2 linked regions of the Kluyveromyces lactis genome follow. The protein of the gene in region 1 interacts with the protein of each later gene in a biochemical or structural test. Links are inferred from orthologs where the notes say so. Each region holds a gene or a part of one and is shown on either strand. Other genes may lie near its edges. The genes, in order: VPS74 and SEC27.

The links.
Region 2: the proteins of VPS74 (region 1) and SEC27 form a complex in vitro, tested with the Saccharomyces cerevisiae proteins (2 studies listed by BioGRID). The link is inferred for Kluyveromyces lactis from reciprocal best matches to the Saccharomyces cerevisiae genes VPS74 and SEC27.

The regions. Positions count from the first base shown.
Region 1 is NC_006041.1:215,502-223,259, reverse strand, and holds VPS74 (Vps74p), read left to right. Parts: upstream 1-5,063; coding exon 5,064-6,038; downstream 6,039-7,758. Other genes in the region: FRQ1 (frequenin), read right to left, coding at 1-13; ubiquitin-specific protease UBP2, read left to right, coding at 951-4,613; CTS2 (putative chitinase), read right to left, coding at 6,224-7,666.
Region 2 is NC_006038.1:167,751-176,922, forward strand, and holds SEC27 (coatomer subunit beta'), read left to right. Parts: upstream 1-2,895; coding exon 2,896-2,913; intron 2,914-3,145; coding exon 3,146-5,800; downstream 5,801-9,172. Other genes in the region: KLLA0_B01914g (transient receptor potential ion channel family protein), read left to right, coding at 1-1,171; KLLA0_B01936g (uncharacterized protein), read right to left, coding at 1,253-2,467; MRM2 (21S rRNA (uridine2791-2'-O) methyltransferase), read right to left, coding at 5,960-6,829; RPL1B (60S ribosomal protein uL1), read left to right, coding at 7,492-8,145; KLLA0_B02024g (uncharacterized protein), read left to right, coding at 8,835-9,172. UniProt on the Saccharomyces cerevisiae protein: The coatomer is a cytosolic protein complex that binds to dilysine motifs and reversibly associates with Golgi non-clathrin-coated vesicles, which further mediate biosynthetic protein transport from the ER, via the Golgi up to the trans Golgi network.

The sequences.
Region 1 (7,758 bases):
TTTTATTTCCCATCTTATTATTGTTATTCCATGGATAGTATATATCTTAACACTTACTGTGATCAAACGCCACTATAAGCTACCTATGATCAGTTTCGGAAAAGATATTGACTAGACCCTGAAGCTCTTCCTCCCTAAATTTTTCAACTCCTCATGCAACATCTTTTATATTGGTTTTTTTTTAATTATGTTTTTCTCTCTTCTGCAGTTTACAGATTTCGTTGTAGGAAAGTGGCTTGTGAAGTCCGTCATAGATGATTCTCTAAAAGTAACGATAGAAACAGTGACAGAGATGACCGTTCCTCTTCTACTTTGCTTGTTGGTGTTCAAGTAACGACTACTAAAATTCTTCAGATGCTCACTATGAAGCGGTGCCACTGATCGAACTATTTTTCCTCTTTTTAACTCAACGACTGCGTTTTAAAGTTCTGGATTTTATGAACCTATTTCAACATTCAAAGGTTGAATAGGTTACATTGAGTTATAAATTATAGTTTACGTAGTACTCAGAAAAACAAGTTGTAAAGCTGTTTCAGTCTTTTCGGAATAATAGCAATGCTGTTACATCAAACAGGGCATAGGTAATTTGAATAGAGGCCCTTTTTGACTCATTTTAATGCCCTTTGTACCGCCATAAATGCGTTTAAATTTAAAACTGTGAGTATAAATCCGTACACCACACACTCATTGTGGTTCTGTCTACAGATTTCCACTATTGACAAATTTTAAAGGGTAACAAAAGAATTAAGTAGAATCAGAATAGTAATTGCATTAAATTTTAAGGAAAACTAGATCTTCAATCCTTTGGCAAATGCATAATTAAAAATATCTATTTGCCACTTCTAGGCTCGTTCTAATACTCCCAGTGATTCAATTCTGATACATTTGACACGCTACAGTATATTGTGACAATTTGAGGATAGCTTGGCAGAGAATAGAATCTCGAATTGATGATGGCTTCACAAGAACCAGCTTTAGAATTGAATGGCGAACAGAGAGATTCTGTTTCGGAAACAGCAGAAGTACTGAGATCTAAGTCGTTGGAATCATTTTCAGATTTAGTAGACGATGGTAAGACGCTTTTGTACGGAGATATTTCGAAAAGTTTTCCGTTCAAAACATGCGATCGAATTTTAGATGACATTAGGATTTCACCATGGTTCTTGAAGAAGTTTGGTTCATCTGTGATGAAACAACCAATGCTTCAGTACTCGAGGGAAAGACAGCAATTGCAACCGTGGAACCTAGTGCATTTAATTGACCAGGTTAATTTGAGAAGCAGATATGATTATGATTCAATGACTTGTCCAGGGAAGAATACCATCAGTGTTATGTTCGCATTGCTGGTAGATCCGAATTTTACTCCTAATGACTTTGATGACATTGACAAGTTTCCTGAATACTTCTTTCATTTGAAGATTACTGTGAAAAGGAGATCATACTTGGAAAATTTCAATAGACACGTTGGGATAACTCATTATCATGTTTTAGAGCCTGAATCTTTACATCCATTCGACAAAAGGGATATCTTTATAATGGAAGAGAAAGACTGTAGATTAGTAGACCAAAGTATATTTGTTTCTGCTGATACTAATAAACTTATACTTGTTGAGATAATAAAACCAGAATTTAATTCAGAGAACCTAGCTGAATATCGAACAGCAAAAATTGAGGAAAGATATAAAAATGCATGTCAAGAATTTGATTTATTGAACCCGGACGATATTCCTAGCCAAGCCGAGTGTTTGAAAACTCTTTTCATGATATTTAAGAACCCATTACAGAGGAAATCTGCTAATAGTGAGTTTAAGATTATTTCCAGGGATAGTGTTGCACTCAACTCACAAATTAATACTGACTGGTTAACGACAATGTTTGATTTCAGTTTGCAGAAGACCGCTGTAGAAGATAATGTCCAATCTGGAGAGGAATATAAGCCACCAGATTTAGTTGATTATATCACAGATTTTAAGGTCAGAGGGATTAGAGAGGCGTATACCAGAAAATCCATGGAGGTTGTTTTAATTGGTAAGCAGTCGATGCTACTTGAAAATGAACTTGGTACTGAAAAGAAGACAGTGGCAAAGTGCTTTTCTAATCAACATTTTAGTGCCAGTCACACATGGTGGTTCAATATTTTGAACCACCAACACATTGAACCATTCCCCTACGACATAAATTACCATTTTATTAACCTATCTGTTGCTTTTAAGTACATCGATAAGGATATCATTAAAAACTATGAAACTCAAATTGCACTTGATCAGGAAAACATCAGCCATTATTTTGATGCTCTCCAATATGTAACAAACGCAAAGGGTAGTTACCAGCTTATTGCTTACTGTGGAAAACAAGATGTTGTTGGGTATGAAGATTTGAATAATGCATTACAGGTATTTGGTTTAGATCCAACTGACATTGACGCAAGCCTCCTTGATGCCAATACGATGATTGAATATTACAATTCTCATCTATTAAGGAGCTCTGATAATCAAAGAAAAGATCTAAGAAATGCCCTACGTGTGCTAGGAAAATATTTAGGTAGTCAAAAGATGTTGTTTTTGGTGGAGTATGAACCATATTATAATGTACAACAAGCTTACACTCTTTTAAAGGTAGACGAGACAGTAGATGATGATATTATCCAAACTGCATATACGATCAATATTGCTGATGCCCCTGGTTTGAAAAAAGATTATGATCGGGCGATTTTTACAATAGCACTAGATAGGCGCTCAATATTTCTTTTGAATGTCTTGACAGATGAATGTCCAGAATTTGCGCAATATTACAACTGCACTGACATATCATACGATGAAGCATTGAACATCATTGAAATTGACATGAATGCAAGCGACGATGTCATCCTTGAAGTTTTTCAAAAGAAATGGAGTCACGGAATTATGACAGGTCCTGATTATCTATTGAAGTTGAAAATGGCCCTTCAGAATATTGGTTTTACTAGAAATAGTAAACTTATCAACCACTTTTTAGACACCGGTATTGTGGACGTAAGTTGTCTTCCTGTTGCTACATGGCCAGCTGGAATCAATAATGTGGGAAATACATGCTACCTAAACTCACTACTTCAATTCTTTTTCACTATCAAACCTCTACGTGATTTTATTTTGAATTATGATGATGACTCTGCTAAATTACTGGATGCGTCTGAATATCACTCTAGAAGAAGAATTGGAGGCAGGGAGGTCAGCAAACAAGAAGAGCTTAGATCGGTCCAGTTTGTCTACCATCTTCGTGATTTGTTCAATGACATGATCCACACAAACAGTAGATGCGTCACGCCCACAAAAGAGTTGGTCTACTTAGCCTTTGCTCCGAGTAATGTCGAGGTGGAGTTCGGTGACGATACTGTTGCCCAGAAAGAACTCATCGACTTAACAACTGACGTCGTCGAAGACCCCACTGATACTACTCGTCACCTAGCGTCTTGTGATGATGATATCATAATGTGCCAGAGCCCGGTTGCGCTCCCCGAACATAAAACATCGTCAGAAGCAGGAACACAGCAATATTCCGTCCAAGTTGCTAAAATCAGTGCGGACCAACTTGAAAATACATTGGAGATCGGAAGACAACAAGATGTTACAGAATGTATAGGTAACGTCTTGGCTCAGCTTGAGATTGCTTCAGAACCTTTGAGCTTGGAAGACGACTTGGAACAGAATGATCTTGTCAAACAGTTGTTTTACGGTAGAATTAAACAGGACTTGATACCAGTCAATGATGAGGCTTCTGTCCGGACAAAATATGAAAGGTTTTTATCCTTATTGGTTAACACCGGTGACCATCCAAAGGATATTTATGATGCTTTAGATTTTTACTTTCAGAATGACTATTTGAATTTGGAGGAGTATGGTGATGTAAAGAGAACTGTATCTATCTCAGAGTTACCTGCGGTTCTACAAATTCAAATCCAGAGAGTCTATTATGATAGAGAAAAATTCATGCCTTTCAAGTCTATCGAGCCGCTACCTTTCGGCGAAACGTTGTACATGGATAGATATATGGCTACCGAGGATCCAAAACTATTAGCAGAAATTCAACAAAACGCAGAATTGAAACAGAAACTTCAAGACTTAAAGCAAAGACAGAGGAAACTACTCTCACAGAACGAAATAGGATTAACTTTAAAATCCTCGCTCATTGAGACCAAAAAGTTCTTACAGTCCGGTACCTTGAAAGCGCACGATATTGATGCGGACAATATCCCCTCATCGATCGCCTACATTGATATTTTAATCAATAACATAGACGAGGAACTAAAGAGCTTATTCAACAAAATTACAGATCTAGAGACAACTATTTCCCAACAGTTCAGCGAATTCAAACATATCGGCTATTCTTTATTCGCCGTTTTCATTCATCGTGGTGAAGCAAGTTACGGCCATTACTGGGTCTATATTAAAGATCACACCAAAAATGGTATCTGGAGGAAGTATAATGATGACTCAGTTACAGAGGTGCCACAATCGGAAGTATTCAACTTCACGGAGGGTAATACGGCCACTCCATACTTTTTGGTCTACGTCCGTGAAGGTCAAGAACAAGAAACTATCGAACCATTGAAACGAATTCTTCAACAACAGGAGTAACCCGTGTCGCTCTTAAAGTGGCATAAATATGATTTACATTATATTAATTAAAAGATAGATCAGTATGTAATGCAGGAATTGGTAAAATTTATAAGATCTGGCGTTCAGTTAGGCTTACTGTGCGGATACTATCTTCGATTCAATATCCACATGTGAGGGTAAATTGATTTTCGCAAGGCAGGCAGGAGTTCTTAATTAGTTAGTTACCTTGATCTAATTTGAAAAAAAAAAACATCAAAATGAAAAATAACTAACTGATTTTGATCAAACCTAGTTTATATCTATGGTGAATGATTTTAAAGATTTACTCTTCGTGTCACAATTGGCTTTAAGTCATTAGGTTTGACTTGAAGGTAGGATTGGAATTCTGTTATCCGACAATTGGACTGTGACTTGTCAAGAAGTGAACTTGCAAAGTTGCACGCCGAAAAAATAGGGTAAAAATTCATCATGTCTTTACAGCGTCGCCGAGTTAATAAAGGTGATACAACGGAATCAATCCCTCAAATAGATAATGAGCATGATCATAAGATTGTATATGACGAGCAAGAGGCGAAACTAAGGGACAACACTAGTGTTCCTAAGTTGACCTTAATGGAGGAAGTTTTGTTGATGGGACTAAAGGATAAACAGGGATATTTATCATTCTGGAACGATAATATCTCGTACGCCCTACGTGGGTGCATCTTGATAGAACTAGCGTTACGAGGTAAGATTAGATGTGTTGATGATCCAGCAAGAAAGAGATACGATGTCAGTGAGAGATTAATTGAAGTCATAGACGGAAGTAAAACTGGCGAGGTCTTACTTGATGAAAGTTTATCTTTAATGAAGAACGATCCACCAACTTCAATTGTCGGATGGATTGACCTACTTAGTGGCGAGACTTGGAATCTCCTAAAGATCAATTATCAATTGAAACAAGTTAGGGAAAGATTAGCAAAGGGATTGGTTGACAAAGGTGTTTTGAGAACTGAAATGAAGAACTTCTTTTTGTTTGACATGGCCACACACCCGATCACTGATACAACTTGCAAGGAATCTATTAAAAGAAGAATACTATCGATACTGGTTTCAAGGAATGCTGAATTGACTTATAATACCTATTTCCCACAAGATGTTTCCTTTAAATATATTAGAACCTTGTCTTTAATCTGTGGTGCTTATGGTGCTAATGTTCTAGAAAATGTCTTGGCTACCTTAGATTACGAAGTGAGAGATACAGGGTTTGCTCGTGCGGATGAAATTCTAGCTCAATTTTCAGAATTTCCGTTCCCACTCGATAAACAAACAAGCACCGGTGTTTCAGTGAACTTAAATAAAGAGATTTCACAGGAATTAAATAATCATCCGGGTTCAGATTTGCAACTTGAAGTTGTTGCTGGAGTTTTTGAGGTCTTTTCACGTATGGACACATTGTTATAAAGTCCATAGTATTATGATTCGAAGAACAGTGTGGATCATTCACATATATATATATACTTGTATCTCAAAAATTCTACGGACAATATCCGACTAGTTCTAAATCACAATGTAAACTCGATTTGAGCACAAATTCCATTACTTGGTAATGATATTCATTCATTGAAATCTGATATGAAAGGCTGAAGTTAGAGCTTCTGGAAAAGACTTGAAATATAATCCTTGGGGTACTTTTGTAAATGAAATTGCTTTACTTTATCGCTTTTGAACAATGATACAAAGCCTTCAGACAGGCCAATTTCCTTACTAAATGCGTTAACTAGTGACTTCCTGGGGTCTTTGGAATCCCCACAAGATTCCCACCAAAATCCACCGTTCAAGTTTTTCTTCTTGATGTATTTTCCCTTGATATCCATGGATTGAACATTGTCATACCCCACAAATGTTCTGGATTTAGGATCAAAGCAGTAAGCTGAGACTGCATTTGAGTCAAACTGTTCCTTGCTACCATCGATCGGTAGTTGATTATATAACCAAATCCCTGGCTCACCCTCAGATCCACCCCCAACTCCGTGATATTTCTTGCCAAGATAATTATCATCATTTGTTTCGACATTGGTGAAACCACGTCCATAGGCCGCCATACCAAGTGCTATTCTACGTGAAGATATGTTATGTCTATCGGTCATAAGTTTCACTGCGGTGTCTGATGAAAGAGAACTGTTTGATATTCTATTACTCAAACTTCTCCTGTGGGAATGTCCCTGAAGGTACAAGTTACTATGATATCCGGTTACATCTGACCATTCTCCATGAAAGTCATAACACATCATATTCCAGATATCAACATATTTTGACATCTCAGATATAGGTAGTATATTTAATTTTTCAGCAAATGCAGGGGTAGCTACAGAAAGTTGGAAATGTGGATGGTCCTTCTCTTCAGCGGGTGAACCAAAAATTTGTCTTTCTAACTGATCCATACCTTCTCTTATTCCTCTCATCATTTCTAAATAAACTATCGGTTCATTACTGTCCTCCTCGGGAAACTCCCAATCCAAGTCTATTCCATCAAACCCATACCTGAACATACAATCCACCGCTGTTTCAATAAACTTCTTCACCTTTTTCTCTGACTTGGCAATTTTCTTATAGGCCTCTCTGTTGGACCAACCACCAAGGCATAAAATAGTCTTGAATTCGTGCTTTGACTCTAATTTTATTTTTTGAAGCTCTTTGATGCAACCTTTTACACCCACACTCAAAGGCAGCTCAAAGTCTGACCACGAATCACTAGATTTAACAGCTCCTGACTTAGCATCCACCACAAAAAAGGCATAATATACATGCGTCAACTGGCTTGTTGGAATATCAGCCGGCTTGTGGTTTCTTGCATTATACGGGGACCAATTGGAATAGTAAGTGGCAACTGAAAAACCATCCGGTCCCTCAGACGGAACACGAGTGTCTGGATCGATCTCTGTGGGAGGCCTTCTCCCGGCGCTCCCACCCTTCTTGATTTTATCTAAAAATAACCAGGGCACAATGCACATTTCCACTATGAATGCAAGTACTATTATTATAATCCAAAATTTAAGATGTAATTTGGTTATTTTGAAGCCTTCGAACATCCTAAATTGATGCTTGAAGTGGTAGATGACAGGCTTTGAATTATACCAATATATTCATTTGTGGTCCATCTGTTATTTTGACGTTTTAATAA
Region 2 (9,172 bases), on another chromosome or scaffold:
TGTATTGAGTTGTCTATTCATCATTATGGTTTATGGTATCCTCGGTTATGTGTCACTCAGAACAATTTCTTTTGCTAAACGATCTATTCAGTTACACAACAATCCAGCTGCTATTTTATATGGTGACCAGAGGGTCTTGAACAAATACGGTTTCTTCTATACTATGTTTTCCGCCAATTATTATTATTGGTCCTGCGTTATTATGGCCCAAAACTTTGTCAAAGGTGCGTTCATCGCATTCGCGCAAGCTTCAGGTAAAACTCAAGCTCTTGCTTTGTTTATTATTGATTTGGCCTACTTCGCAGCCATCATCAAATTCAAACCATATTTGGATCGTGCCACAAATATCCTCAACATTTTGATTTCAACAGTCACCTTAGTGAACTCATTCCTATTCTTGTTTTTCTCTGATTTGTTTGGGCAACCTCAGCCAGTGGCCTCGATTATGGCTTGGGTCTTCTTCATTATGAACGCTGCATTCTCTTTGATTTTATTGATTCTAATTCTTGTGTATGTGGGCTTTGTCATCTTTTCGAAGAACCCTGATGTCAGATTCAAACCAGCGAACGATGACAGAACATCATTCCAAAGACAATCCGCGAATGTGGGTGCTATGGATAAATCTGTCGCTGATGAACTAATGGCTCTTGGCACTGTCGCTAAAGAACATGATGGGGACTGGCAGGAGATGCTAGTTACCCAGGGTCAACAAAACACCGAATCAAGCACAGATAATCTTAACGATGAAAAACTCGAGGCAGCAGAGGAAGCTAATATTAGTAGGAAACATTCATTCAAGGATAAGATATTGCGTAAAATGTCATTGAGGAGAAATAAATCCACTTCGTCCAGGTTAACCGCTGGTAATAGACAAGCTACCGTCACTGCTTCGCATCTTTCCGGTGACTCTAGCTCAGAATCAGAAACGCCAATCGTTAAAACTATTAAAGGGACTCACACAAGAGCAGTGTCTGAGGCAGAAAACGGACTAATAGATAACAGTAGTGATTTTGATTTTGTTACTGACACACAACTCGATACTCCAACAGCTTCACCCCATCGTAAAACTTCGATAAGTGATAGCATAAATTTCAATAGTACTACGGATATGAATGCTACATCCTCAACAGATATTTTCCAACATAACAATAACTCCTACTACAAGTTGTAAATATGAGTGCCGTTTCGTTTCTAAACTCGTATATTATATAAACTTTTCATCGTATTAAACAAATGTATTATCGATTTTTGACTACGGGTGCACATATTCAAACAATTCATCTGAGACGTGCATATTATCCCAATAGTTAAGGAAAACTGAGCATTTTTCTAGTACTCGTGTTAGGTTTGCTGCCATTATTTTATCCGTAATACTTAAAGTTTTCCATAACTTAGTTGTGGCCACTTTATTCAATGTCCTCCAAGGTAAAGATAGTTTGTCCTGTTCTATGGTTGAAAGCTGAAGCAAAGGCGAAATAATATCTTTCAATTTTTCTGTTGCCAACGTGAGTTTGAAATTATCTTCTTTATCATAATGATATCTTTCTGAAACTTCAATCTCTTGAAACCAGGACAACTCTTTTGAGGATTTCCTTCTTGAATACCAATCGATGAGAAGTTCTTTTGTGGAAAGTTTGCTCTTGAAGTCAGGTATCTGGGACATACTTGTATTCATGTAATATGAGCTCAAACTAAAGTTAGTCGGAGCCATAGACAAATTCGGGGTCTGTAAGTATGGAACATATGTCTTTGTTTTTCGCTTTGACAGGAGAGTGATGAATGGGATTAATTTCTTAGCCATAACTTCTGACCAGGAATCAGAATAAGTCGATGCATACAATGGCTGAATTGGTATCGAATTAGATAAAGAACAAAATTCCATTGCATTTGATGTACTTATTCCATCACTCTGTAAAGATTGAAATATCGTTTGTTTGGCATCCATATCCACATCACAATAAAACAAACCGCCAACCCAAGTGTAGGGTATAAAAACATCAAATGGACGGATCGCATACTTCTTTCTTCTGGCCATTTTTAAACAATGAAAGTTCTTCAAACTATTATTGGGATTTTCCTGTTCTTTAGATTCAAAAAAACACCACGGTTGGTTCCAATCCTTTACATCATTAGTAAGTTGCTTCTCAGTTTCAAAGACAACTTTACCCTCGTTACAATAAGTTATCTTCAAAGCTTTCCCTGATCTTTTATATAGCTGGTGAAAATAAAATACCCTGTGTACTTTAAATCCAGTGAAGAGCTTTGTATCTCCAGGCAAAGAATCTACTGGAATCGTTGCCCCACTCCATATCTCAAACGTTTTCTTCATATTCATGTTGGCAGAGTTGAAACCTACCGCACAAGCTTTATCAATTGTATGAACAGGGTATAGTGCTTTCCCGTAAGCAAAATCAAAAAATAGAGCAGAACAAAAGAGAATCAACAACCATAGTTGACCTTTACTCATTCTATAACAAACCACACAACTGCTGTAGCTTCTAATAAAATGAGACTATCAAGACAAATAGCAGTTGTTCTGCTGAATAGCCTAAATCGCGCCCTTTGTCGAACAAATATAATAATTAGTAATATTCTTCAACTTTAGCTTTGAATACAAAATGGAGAAGATTGATGTAATATTAGGGGAAATAAGTCATATAGCTCGTAGTACTCTCGAGCCGAAACGGTTCAAGTTGATGCTTTATTTATGTGACACTGACACTGACATCAATATCATAATAACATTACCCGGTCCTATGCCATGTCCATCAACGGCTTTGAAAAAAAAATGTTTGAAAGGGGAATTTGAATAATAAAGATCCATTCATGATTTTAACACGTTAGTTGAAGAAAACATCGAAGGTAGAGACCCAACAGAGCGGAAGGAAATTAGCAATGAAACTTGACATCAATGTATGTGACACATTGTGTACTAGAGTAATTTGTGAGGTGCTTTTATCACGGAGAATCGCTGTTGAACGTTAGCAATTGCATATTAAGTATCTTAGGCGTTTTTCTGGTATCAATACATTTATGTTTTATGTTTTGATTCAACAGATTATATTTCTTCAGCCCTTATCAGCAACTAAAAGAAAGAGCTTTTACTAACATTTTTTTCATCTATGGTGACTTTATTTGTCTTTAGAAAAAGCTCAGTGCCAGAACTGACAGGGTTAAGGGCATTGACTTTCATCCTGAGGAACCTTGGGTTTTAATTACCTTGTACTCAGGAAGAATTGAGATATGGAACTACGAGACGCAAACGCAAGTGAGATCTATTCCATTATGTGATGCTCCAGTGAGAGCTGGTAGATTCATTGCAAGAAAGAACTGGGTTGTTGTTGGTTCCGATGACTTTAAATTAAGAGTTTATAATTATAACACCGGTGAAAAAGTGACCGAATTCGAAGCACATCCTGATTATATCCGTTCCATTGCTGTGCATCCAACGAAGCCATTCGTTCTGACAGGTTCTGATGATCTGACTATTAAGTTATGGAACTGGGAAAAGAATTGGGGCTGCCAACAAACCTTTACCGGTCATGAGCACTTCGTCATGTCTGTTGCATTCAACCCAAAGGACCCCAACCAATTTGCCTCCGGTTGTTTGGATCACACTATCAAAGTTTGGTCGATTGGTCAAGATGTTCCAAATTTCACCTTGAAAGCACATGAAACTAAAGGTGTGAATTATGTCGACTATTACCCGTTACAAGATAAGCCTTATTTGATTACCACTTCCGATGACGGTACCATCAAGGTGTGGGATTACCAGACAAAATCTAATGTTGCTACTTTAGAGGGACATATGGCTAACGTGTCATATGCTGTATTCCATCCGACTTTACCTATCATTATCTCAGGTTCCGAGGATGGAACTCTCAAGATTTGGAATGCAAATACATACAAACTAGAGAAAACGTTGAACATCGGGCTTGAAAGAAGTTGGTGTATCGCTACTCATCCATCTGGTAAACGTAATTACATTGCATCGGGTTTCGACAATGGTTTCACAGTTCTATCCCTAGGTGATGATCAACCAAAATTATCTTTGGATCCAGTTGGTAAGTTAGTTTATTGCGGTGGTAAAGCATCAGCCACTGACGTCTTCTCTGCCATCATTAGAGGTAATGAAGAGGTAGAAGAAGGCGGTGCCCTTCCTTTGCAAAGCAAAGAATTAGGGTCGATCGACGTTTTCCCACAAAGTTTGAAGCATTCCCCAAATGGTAGATTTGTCACTGTTGTTGGTGATGACGAATTCATTGTGTACACTGCTTTAGCATGGAGAAACAAAGCTTTCGGCAAATGCCATGACTTTGCATGGGGCCCAGATTCTAATAGTTATGCGTTAATCACGGAAACGGGTGCAGTGACCTACTACAAGAACTTCAAACAAGTATCTTCTTGGTCAATTCCGCTTGATTACGGTGTCGAAAAAATCTTCCCTGGTTCAGTATTAGGTGTCAAAGCTGACGGCTTCGTATATTTCTTTGATTGGGAATCAGGTAATCTAGTGAAAAGAATTGATGTCGATGCTAAGGATATAATCTGGTCAGATAATGGAGAGCTTGTTATGATCATCAACAAAGACCATGAAACAGACTCTGCTGAAGAAGCTAATGCTTACGCTCTGTTGTTCAATAAGGATGTTTACGATGAGGCGGTTTCAGCTGGAAGTATTGATGAAGATGGTGTAGAAGATGCGTTTGACGTATTATACGAAGTTTCAGAGGGTATCACGTCAGGTAAGTGGGTTGGTGATGTCTTCATTTTCACCACCCCAACAAATAGATTAAACTACTTTGTTGGTGGTAAAATCTATAATCTTGCACATTTCGATAAGCAGATGTACTTATTAGGTTATTTGCCAAGAGATGATAAAGTTTATTTGGCTGACAAAGATATCCATGTTTATGGTTATGAACTATCTATTGATGTTTTGGAATTCGAGACATTGGTACTCAGAGGCGAACTAGCTGAGGCCAAATCATCCGTACTACCTAATGTTCAAGGAAAAGAAAACTTGCTAAAGATCTCTAGATTTTTGGAGGGACAAGATTTGTTTGAAGATGCCTTAGAAATTTCACCAGACGCTGAGCAGAAGTTTGATCTAGCTATTAAATTAGGCCGACTATCACTGGCGCAAGAAATATTGTCCGAGCAGGAAAGTGAGAACAGATGGATTCAATTGGGTGATGCTGCCTTAAAGAAATTCAATTTCACTTTAGCTTTGCAATGTTATGAAAAGGCAAATGATCTAGAATCCCTTTTCTTGTTATATTCTTCATTCAACAATAGGGAAGAGTTGGTTTCATTGGCAAAGAATGCTGAGACTTCTGGTAAGTTCAACCTAGCTTTCAATGCTTATTGGGTAGCAGGTGACATAGCTGGAGCAAAGGACTTGCTATTAAAATCTAATAGGGTGCCAGAAGCTGCCCTATTAAGTTTAACATACGGGGAATCGGCAGAATCCATCAACACTGTAGTAGACGTATGGAAGCAAACTTTGATCAATGACGGTAAAGCCGCAATTGCTGAAAGAGTTGGAGTTGTCGGTAAGACAGAAGGTTTTCCATCAACGAATACACATACCTTACTTGATTTAGATACACCAAGCGAGAGCATAAAAGAAGCGGCTCCTGTAAACCATAAGTCAGAGGAGGATGTCGCAGTTGAAGAAAAAGCGTTGGATACCGAGGAAAATAAGGATGAAGATGAAGATGAAGAAGCATTCAAGGATTCATCTGAAGAGCCTCAAGGTTCAAAAGACGATGATAAACCCGCTGCAAAGGCGGAATAACTGTACGTTCCCCAACTCCTAAAAGAAAAAATGAACTACGATAAATTCATAATCCGTAAATAATGTATTAATATGCTAGTATATTAACATGAACTAAACGATTACAATCCGTGAGTCTTGAAGATTCTATCAAACTGTTTAAAATATTTACAAGTACAATTATTCCTCTAAAAACACCTTCAATTTATCTATATCAGTTTTCTTCCCGCGAGCCACGAAATACAGTTCTTTTGATTCATTTCTCGATGCATTGGGTTTGAATCTGTCGACTTTTTTGAATACCTTTTTAAGTCTCTTTTCAAGAAGGGTATCTTCGCTTCCAGCATATAATTTACAAGTGAATGAACCTCCCGGTTTTAATAGGTCGATTGCTACAATTAATGCAGCATCACATAAGTCCATCGACATATAATGATCTTTACTTTGTATGCCTGTCGTGTTTGCCATCATATCGCTAAGCACAACATCGACCGGGTATCGTTCGATGTTCTGACTGATATCTGTCTGTGAGAATAGCTCCTTATACTCCTCTGTTTCCTTCAAATGGTTTAACTCTTCCTCTAGCATGTGCTGGAGATACCCATGATCCTTATGTAATTGATCATGCTTGTTTAGCTGGATATGACGAGCAAAGCAAAGTCTGATCAATTCATGAGTCTTTTTCGATAGGATGTTAGCCTGTAACGAATACACTCCCTTTGGCGGAGTACAACGTAACAAATCAACCCCCATGATCATTCCACCTGAACCGATCCTTTTCCTCGCTACTTGTGACCAGGCACCCGGCGCAAACCCAAGATCTAAAACTTTCTGATTTTGTTTGAAGAACCGGTATTTATCATCAATGTCCATTAATTTGAATGCTGCTCTGGACCTAAACTGCTGTTCCTTTGCAGCCTTGGTGAAATGATCATTCTTTTGCCTCGCTAACCAACGGTTCTGCGCATTAGAATTGTATCTTACTAGCCGTAGCACAAACGGAGTGCACCTATACTGAGGTGTGATCAAAGGCTGTAACACAGAATTCATCCCTACAATGATTCAGTATTCGCATGCAGCACCGTGCTACCTTTAACTGTCCAGGTATTGCATATTTGACATTTTACAGCCTTAACTTTTGATTGTCAGTACATATTCCACAGGAGAAACCTTAAAATATAACACCGATGAGATACAAATAAAGGTGAATAAGGAAGTACGTGCACTTTGCGAGTTCTCTAACAGGACGGACTACGAACTATGCAGCTTAGAGGACAACTTCAAGTCTCATCTGGACCTTATGATGCTACTTGGCAAGCGAATAGCCATTAACCCACACACCGCATAATGGTTAAGGATAGTGACACAATTTAAGATTTGAAATTCTTCCTAATTAGGATATTGTTGGCACTGAAATAATAAACACCCAGTCACCGCACCAATTTTCAACAGTCCCAGCATTTTTGTACCCACTCCTGGCCAAAGCCTACAGGAAAACTGAAAAATTTCAGATTGAACCACATTGGAATAACAACATATGATGAAAACAGCTAATCAATCGGGACGTTGTTCTCTTATTCTCTCTTGATATATATATTTTTATATTGTTCGTATTCTGTTTGTTTTAGAATTTAAAAGAGCACAGTCGCAAGCCTATTAAACGGACCACCAAATACTTTTGGAAGACTCTCACCACTCATAAAACATCAAAGATGTCTAAGATTACTTCCTCTCACGTTAGAGACAACGTCAAGGAGTTGTTGAAATACTCCAATGAAACCAAGAAGAGAAATTTCTTGGAAACCGTTGAATTGCAAGTCGGTTTGAAGAACTACGATCCTCAAAGAGACAAGCGTTTCTCTGGTACTTTGAAGTTGCCAGTCTGCCCAAGACCAAACTTGTCCATCTGTATCTTTGGTGATGCTTTCGATGTTGACAGAGCTAAGTCCTGTGGTGTCGACGCTATGTCCGTTGAAGATTTGAAGAAGTTGAACAAGAACAAGAAGTTGATTAAGAAGTTGGCTAAGAAGTACTCTGCTTTCGTCGCTTCGGAAGTTTTGATCAAGCAAGTTCCAAGATTATTGGGTCCTCAATTGTCCAAGGCTGGTAAGTTCCCAACCCCAGTTTCCCACAACGATGATTTGTACCAAAAGGTCAACGACGTCAAGTCCACCATCAAGTTCCAATTGAAGAAGGTCTTGTGTTTGGCTGTCGCCGTCGGTAACGTCGAAATGGACGAAGACACTTTGGTCAACCAAATCTTGATGTCTGTTAACTTCTTGGTCTCCTTGTTGAAGAAGAACTGGCAAAACGTCGGTTCCTTGGTCATCAAGTCTACCATGGGTCCAGCTTACAGATTGTACTAAGCCAGCAACAACTACTGCCTTTTTAGCTTCCTATATCATTCTCTATTATTAAAAATGCATATATAAAGTTTTCAAATAACAGGATATTACTGGTTTACTCGTCTTCACTACAACCCAAACTTCCCGCAGAAGAAATCCGCTCGAGCCAAAACCTCGGACCGTTGTGGTCCATTTCCCATTATTATATCGCACAAACTATTGATGCGGTGCTTTCTTTTTCATCTAAGCATTTTTCCTCTTTACAGTGAACTTTTTGCTATTTATCCGGTGATTGAAAACACTGCAATTTCGGACCCAAATTTTGCTATATTTACTATTTATTATACATATATATGACTGTGCTACTGTATGGATACAAATTCAGTAAAAGAGAAAGACCAAGGCCCCACAAGCGAATAATAGTTAGAGCATCCTTTCAATACATTGCTGCTGCTTAAATCTGGGTCTCTACAAACAGAAAATAGCGGTTTGTTTTTAGGAGTATCTCCGCATTGAGGGACGAAGAAGTATCAGTTAAACTGAGTTTTTGCTTCAGTTTTGGTATTTGGTTTTGGTGAGTTTGAAACTAGCTTCTATTTATCCTCTAGGGGTCCTACCAGTGTTTTTATCGTTACTATTTGGATTTGATTTGCGAGATCAGTAAACAGCATCTTTTAGTAGCGTGTGCTGACCACATTTTTTGAAAAGAAATGGTTTTAAGTGGCTCTACATCGCCTAGAAACGCGTTCATTGGGGACAAGCGTGATTGGTTCAAGGTGAACGGTGTTTTGGATAGGGAAGAAGAATGTGATCCAAGTGATTTCGACGTTGAGGATGAAAGTTTTGGGTTACCTTTGAAAAGTCGACATCTAGACGGAAACTTCGATGATGTGTTACATACCGCCGATTCTAAAAAAGTGCGGTTCGCTGAAGGCAAAAACAGGATGACCGTGGAACAGCTATTGGAAAACACTAGTAACTTGAATATGTTCTTTGAAAATAATATAGAAAAAATTACGGACTTCAAATCCGGTTTGGATGTACAGGA